Linked DNA regions of Struthio camelus. The protein of the gene in region 2 interacts with the protein of the main gene of each other region in a pairwise test. Links are inferred from orthologs where the notes say so. Each region holds a gene or a part of one and is shown on either strand. Other genes may lie near its edges.

Region 1 (3,743 bases), on a different chromosome or scaffold from region 2:
CAGAGTTTTTAACAGCACCAACCCTTGTAACAGAAGTTTTCTATTTAAAAGCAAAGCACCTGTTGCATATCATAAAGCAACAATAATGTGCAGCATGCTTTCCAAACATATGTCAGCACAGGTATGGCAAAGGCTCTGGTTTATGTCAGCATCAGTTGAAATCAAACAACTGTGGCTGTCCTAATTGAGTGTGCATCTACACTGTGACCCTGCCAGGCGTTTAGACTGTGTTTTAGCATGCTATAAAAAATTGCTCTTACAAGACCCTTCATCATTTTCTGGCAATTGCCCCACAACTCAGGCTCTACTAGTTACCTATGTAGTGAAAGTCTGCAGATAAATTATGTCTTAGCAGCCTTTTTTGGTGACTGTAGCACTTCACAGTCTTGGCTCTGGGTCAAAGCCAGCTCAGTTCCCTATGCTCAGTGTTTATGAATCCAACATATGTCTTCTGGGGGCTCTGAATCTCCACAGTAATATAAGAAGGGGCCTGATTGCCAGGACATGAGACCTGCTGAGAGCGGGGTGCCCATCAAGGTGGAGGCGCTGCTTATCTCAATGGTGGCTGCACCTTCATACTCCTGTGAATTACCCTTCTACCGGGACTCCGGATGTGTAGGGACCCATCAGTGCCTTGTCCTTGCCCAACGCAAGGAAAGATGTTCAACAATATGCTTCTCTCCTAAGAGCCCGGGGGGATTTCTCTGTGCTGTGCTTGTACATGGGGTGAAATACATCACTTTGTGTGTATGCACAGTGCTGCTTTGTGATGAAACGGGGATTTATAGTTCAGCAGCTCTGTGCTATGTGTTTTCATACCTCCCGTGCTGAGGGAGGGAAAGTGTGCTCCTTCCAGAAGGCATGTTTGTATCTCACTATTGCGCTGAGGGACTATATATAAAAATAATGTGCAAAGAGACTGAGCATCCATAACTTGTTAGAAACCACTTCTTAACACTAATCACTGCATCTCTTTAGTCTCTGCTTCAGCAGATTCAGCGATTTGTTCCTCCAGACAGGGGAACGTATAGCCATTTCTCATTGATCTCTACCTCGAGAAAGGTCCGTAATTCATTGCCCTTAGCCTGCAGCAGCATGTGGCTCTCTAGGGTTTCTAACGGCAGCAAAAGGAAGACCAAGGATAAGATAACAGGGGCCTGCTGCTGAGTGAGGTGGGCAAACTAGCAATGAAGGCAGAGATGAGACCAGTGTCTTTGTGCACGTGGCCGTCTGTGGGAGCGGGACACACCGCGGCGGGGCAGGCACCGCCGGGGCCGCTCCTCGCCGGGGCCGCTCCTCGCCGGGGCTGCTCCTTGCCGGGGCCCCTCGCTCCCGGGCAGGGTGCCCAGGGCCGCCCCGGGGGCCGGGCCAGGCCGGGCCGGGTGGAGCGGAGCAGAGCAGAGCAGCTCAGTGCTCGCCATGGCACAGTACGTGAGGGGTGCCGCCGCCGTGGCCGTCATCCGCCTCCGAAACCCGCCGGTCAACGCGCTGAGGTAATGGCGGGGCAGGGCCGGGCGGGCTCCCCAGCAGCTGCCGGGGCGGCCCGGGGTCCTCCCCACCTTCCTCCATACCTTCCTGCGCTTTCCTTCCTTTTAACCTCGCTTTCTTCCACCCTTTCCCTACTGACCTGTTGTACAGCCCTTTCTACCGAGCCCAGCGCAAGCTGGTCCTTAACTACATCTGGCCGGGGAGCTCGCTGAAGGTGTTTGGGTTCCTGAGCAAATGCTATCAGCCTGGCTGACTCCCTCAGAAAACTGGCAGCTGCTTTTGAGCTTAAACTTCTCTTTGCAAAAAACATGCCCTGTTTTTCCGTGGCTTCTCTTCTCTTTATTGTAATTTCTATTGATTTATGCAGGAGAGATGTCAGGCTTACCAATGTGTGCTTTCTCTGGTGTCCCCTGGAATCCTTTTTAAAACTTAACACATTTCTCATCACCTGGCAGTCTTTAAGTATGAAGGTGATGCTTCCAGCAAGAAATTACACACCATCATTAGTAGTTGAGCTATTTCATCCCAGAGATCCTTCAGAGCTCCTGGGTGAAAACACCTGGTGCTTTAAGCTTTGTTACTGTTCAGTTTATTTCCCTGTTCCACGTGCTCAGAAGTGCTTGCGCAGCGATTGCAGGCAGGCTGGTGTCTGCACTTCCAAGTGAACACAAGGGTTGAGGCAAAGGACTTTGTAAACAGGCAACGTGGCTGAGCAAGAGGAGCGAGAGCCCCTGGCTGACTGGGCTGCCGTTCAAGGTACGGCAGGAGGTACACGGCCAGAAGTGAGGATGGATTAGTCCACAGTGAGGGCTGTCACACTAGACAGGTAATTTGCTTTTTAAAAATAGTTAAGGAATTGACCTCTAAATGGTGCTCTTGGTCAAGAAAGTCCCCAAGCAATCTCAAATGCAAGCCAGAGAAAAACATAGTCCAACACAGGCCAGAGAAAAACAAACACAAATGTATAGTAGCATCTGAAAGTGTAGTTTCTCATGTGTTTGAAAAGGACATATATGTTATTCTTCTTTAAATAATTTGGTCTAAGGTTTGTGTATTTTTCAGTTCATTTAGCTCTAAGCAGCACACAGACCCTTTGCAAGCAGCTGTGGTTGAGCCGTGTTGTAACAGGCCCCACGGTGTATGCTGATGCTTTTGCAGGAGCCAGAAAATCCACTGAAGTTATGCTCAACTTCTGTACCAGCACACCTGTTAAAAAGAAGCTGAGAGAGACAAGTAAGAGCACGAACAGGAGATACCAGCTGCTGCCACAAGCCATAGCAAGCTGCATTGTTCTGCAATAGCTGCCAATGCTTGCTCTTCTTTTGCAACACGTCTGAAAGAGGAGTAAGATAATTTTCCTGTCCCCTGATAATTATCATGAGAAAACAAACTTGGAGTAACTTAATGAGATTAGATGAACTAGACTTGTAAGGCTCCCAGAAGTGCCAGGTGCAAAGTGTCCCTTGGACCAGCTTGTGCCTAAAAGCTAGGAAAACTAGCTTGACTAGGCTAGGAAAACTTCCAAGCTGTTCCCACAGTGAACTTTTCATCCTTACCATGAAAAGTTCAAACTACAGAACTAAACATAAGCGCTCAGGCATCCTTAACTGTCTCTTTTGAGCAGTCTGTGATAAAACCTAAAGTGCTCTCTTTGCCTTCGAGCACCAGCAGCATGCATCTGCATAACAGCCTCTTAAATACATCTCCCTGCCTCTGTTTCCATTTGCCAAGCTCTTCCTCCTTCCGCCTGCACAGGGCACAGCTCCATGACACTGCAGGCCAAAGTGGGTATGGTCTTGGTCCTGCTCTTTTCCCCTGCCACAGGAGGGAGAAGCTACTTTAGAGCCATTTAAAAGGCCGTTTCCAACGAATGCTGCATCATCACTGCCACCATAGCTATTTTGTGCTGCCCGCACTCTTCTGTTGGCCGACAGCCCCACGGCAAGAGGGCCCTGACAGGCCTGTGTATTTTTCCAGAGTAGACTCGTTCCCTAATGTTGAGCTCCATAGCACCATAACGCAACTTAAGCTGGGGCTGCATCATCCTGGCCATGGTTTCTCGCAGCCTCCGCTGTGCTAGCAGGGACTACGTAGTGAGCCAGTTCGGGGAGATAATGTGCCTAAACACTAGCCTGCTTATTTGCTTTTGCCTTTCCCTCAGTCCAGCTCCGTGTGTCAGCACCCTGTGCTGTTGCACGCATAGCAGTGCAGGCGTGAGGGACAGAGTGGGAAAGGACTAGAAGCTGCAGAGCGTG
Region 2 (3,743 bases):
TCTATTGTGCTTTTCTTCATTTCATCTACCATTTTGTTAGAGTCAACATTTCAGACCTTGCAATTCTGTCCTGTGATGATTTCTGATGTAACCTCCATTAACTTACAAATTAATAAATGTACAATAAAAAATCCAAATTTTTGGCTTCTAAACTTTTAAAATGCCAGAAGACTACTACTCACTGAGTAGTGTATCTCCTGTACAGCCTATGATGTGCTGTTGTGCTTTACAGAACCTGGAGAATTGCACTTCTGTGTCAGGTTAAATACAGCAGAAGTGTTGCAAGCTCTCCTCTCTCCACTATACTGCTAAATATCAAGTACTGCTTACCATACTATAGATGTGTTTTGTATAGAAATATACTTCAGATATATTTAGGCCAAGAGGCTTAAGCTATCTTCATGTGTATTACAATCACTAATACAATAGATAACATCCTACAAAAAAAAACTTTGCTATATTAGAAGCCTTGTTGTAAAGGTAAGCTAGCTTTGTATCTGACCCAAACCTACATCTGTCATTTTCAACATCTGAAATAAATCTAGATTAGTCACCAAATCTCTACTTCTGTCCCTGAAGAGATGAATATACAGAAAATAAGTGATAGCATGTCAAAAACTACTTCATACAAACCACATGAGCTCAAGCCTTGCAAATCCTTTCTCACCCTCCTGGTCTCAGGTAGAGACTTCCAAACTCTGAGAATGGATCATTCAAAGAATCACTTACAGAACCAGCTTTTGCACATTGATTCTGTAGGGTCACAAGATAAAGCAAAAAAGTGAGAAATGAAGCCCTGTCTTCATGCACATAGCTTAGTGCTACCACTCTCCTGCACCACAGACTGTACTGCTCTCCTTACCAGACTGCAGAGATGGAAGGAGACAAGTAGTGAGGTATATTTAATTGCAATGCAAAAGGACAGTCTAGTAAAGCTTATGCAGGAGGAGATACAGAAAAGCCACACCCCTGCTTCAAGTTGGGGGTGAGAAAATAAAACCCATAAACACTACATAGTGAAAAGAGCATAAAACAATTTCCATATGATATTACAAATGAAAACAAGGCATTTATGCATTATGTTATAACCAGTTCAGTTGGCTGCCAAGTACATCTCTAATGCAGTCATCCATTGCAAACTAATAACCTGTATGCCAACACTTGACATTTAATTATTTGCTACTGCTACTTTAGTATCAGTAAGTATTTCTAATGCTTGGCTTGCTGAGAATTTTTTTTGTTCTTCAAAGTTTTTAATACAGTAATAAATGGCAAGGGTCTTGCTGGCTTGCCCTTTTCATGTTTGGAGTGATCCAGAATTGCTGGCTGCCCAACCCAGGTGCCCTTTGGGAACACATGCTGACCTGGAGGGGGCAGGCACAGAGCACCCCCATGCTGTTGCTGCCTCCAGGAGGAGACATCAACCAGGGAAGGAGGAAGAAGCAGAAGCAAAAGTAGGAGAGATCAAGAGGCAGGAAAGTATTAAAGGCTCTGAGATCCACCTAAAAAGGGTTGGAAACTACCAATCTAGATGAACAGCTTTTCAAGCAGGGGTGTTTTATCTGAGTAGGGAGACCTGTGCCCACTGTCCTATCTTCCATGGGTTTGTTCTTTCCTTTCCTACTGAAGTTATATGCCAGTTCATAATTTACAGTAGCTGCTTTGTTATCTTTCATCATTCTTAAGAAAGAACAATGAAGTGCTATTTAACTCCATGAAAGGGGCAGAGTTTAACTGCAGTTTTAGCACTCTAGGCCAGCTGAGTGCTGTAAACTCAATACTTGCACTGAGCTCTCCACTTTCATCAACTGGAGAGTGCACAGCCCAAGCCAGAGGTCCCCAGCCCACTCCAGCACCCAGCTCCTTACCAGTCTCTACCTGATGCTGCACAGAGAGCAATGCCTACACCAGCCATTCCACTTATTACTTTCCTCAGAACTTTTGGCCAAATAGATTTGATAATATATATATGAGAGCATTTTAATAAGTAGGTTTCACACTATTATTTTACCATCTCAACACATGCCCTCACCACCGGTAGCAACGACCAGCAGCCCACAAACCTTCCTTGCTTTCAGCATTAGCATTTCCAAGCGGTGCAGCCAGAGCAGCCTGCGTTTCAAAGTACTTTCCGCCAATTTCCCTGCGCGGTGCTTCCCACGCAGAAGGCAGCACCGGGCACAGACGCCCGCATACCGGAGCGACCCCCGGGGCCGCGCCTGTGCCCGGCTCCCCCCAGCACCGCCCGGGGCCGGGCCGCAGCAGCGCCCCGGGCTGCGGCAGGGCTTTCCCGAGGGGACAGCAACCCCAAACCGGGGTCAGCGCCCCGCCCGCGCAGGGCGAGGAGGAAGAAGAGCTCCGGGCGCTGCGGGCTGGAGGCGCGGGGCACCCCGGACGGCAGGGCAGCGGAGCGGGGCGCTGCGGCTGCACGGGGGACGGCGGTGCACGGCGCTCACCTGGCTCGGCTCCGCGCCGCTGCTGCTGCTGCTGCTGCTGCTGCTGCTCCCTCCTCCCGCGTCCGTCCGCGGACAAAGGCTGCAGCAGACGCCCGCGCTGCGCAACGGCGGCAGCGGCAGCAGCGCGGGGCTGCGGGCGGGTGTTATATAGCGGCGCGGGGCGCAGCCGCCGCGCAGCGCCCGCCGCCGCCCGCGCCCACCTCCCGCCGCCGCGGGCCGAGCCGCAGCGCCCCCTGCCGGACCGCGCGGGAGCTGCGCGGCGGCGGGGCCTGCGCGGCCGCCCCCGGGGGTGGTCGCTCGGGCACCCCCCCGGCCCTCGGCTCCGGCGCCGCATGCCCTCCGCCGAGGGCGACGCTGCGGGAAAACTCCGCTTCTCAGACATTGCTTTGCTTTGGTTTGTTTTTTCCTGCTTCCGTAAAGTGCTTAGAAATTTAGGAAAGCCGCAACACTAGGAGACTGAGTGAAACGGTGACCACGGGAGAGCCGAGGTGAGCACCTGACAGGGAAAAACATGTCATGTGCGCACGCTGCCACTCTGTCCGCACGAGCAGATGAATCCCTGAAGGCATGCTTGACTGGGTGGGCTAACGGCACACCAGACGAGGCGTGCAAGCACGCAGAGGAGCACAGAGCTGCCAGAGCGAGTGCAGCCAAGGGCTGCTCAGATGATGAAGGAAACGGAGCAGCTCTCTTATGAGGAAAGGCTGAGAGAGCTGGGACTTTCCAACCTGGAGAAGAGAAGACTTAGGGGGGGATCTAATTAATGTGTACAAGTATCTAAAGGGGGGGATGTCGAGAGGATGCAGCCAGGCTCTTCTCCGAGGTGCCCAGAGACAGGACAAGAGGCAACGGGCAGAAACTGAACCACAGGCAGTTCCATCTGAACATGAGGAAAAACTTCTTTCCTGTGAGGGTGACAGAGCGCTGGCGCAGGTTGCCCAGAGAGGTAGTGGAGTCTCCTTCGCTGGAGATATTCAAAACCCGTCTGGATGTGATCCTGGGCAATACGCTCTAGAGGAGCCTGCTGGAGCAGGGAGGTTGGACTAGATGATCTCCAGAGGTCCCTTCCAACCTCAACTGTTTTGTGATTCTGTGTGATTCTGTAGTATTTATTTAAGCAGAATGGGATGCTTTGTGCTGTACAAAGCAGAAATAGAGCATCATTCCCCCAAAGGAACCTGTAACATGAGACACACACACCAAGATACAGATTAATTTAAATAATACGTATACATATAATACTTAGTGAACATTTAAAAACGAATGCATTTATAAGACATTTCTGTT

What was found. The genes of interacting proteins can lie anywhere in the genome.
Region 1: the proteins of MTUS2 (region 2) and EHHADH interact in binary tests that used the Homo sapiens proteins (3 or more experiments, as listed by UniProt). The link is inferred for Struthio camelus from reciprocal best matches to the Homo sapiens genes MTUS2 and EHHADH.

What each region holds. Positions count from the first base shown.
Region 1 is NC_090950.1:5,246,613-5,250,355, forward strand, and holds the start of EHHADH (peroxisomal bifunctional enzyme), read left to right. Parts: upstream 1-1,368; 5' UTR 1,369-1,419; coding exon 1,420-1,493; intron 1,494-3,743. UniProt on the Homo sapiens protein: Peroxisomal trifunctional enzyme possessing 2-enoyl-CoA hydratase, 3-hydroxyacyl-CoA dehydrogenase, and delta 3, delta 2-enoyl-CoA isomerase activities. Catalyzes two of the four reactions of the long chain fatty acids peroxisomal beta-oxidation pathway.
Region 2 is NC_090942.1:200,186,115-200,189,857, forward strand, and holds the start of MTUS2 (microtubule-associated tumor suppressor candidate 2), read right to left. Parts: upstream 2,651-3,743; 5' UTR 2,457-2,650; intron 1-2,456. UniProt on the Homo sapiens protein: Binds microtubules. Together with MAPRE1 may target the microtubule depolymerase KIF2C to the plus-end of microtubules. May regulate the dynamics of microtubules at their growing distal tip.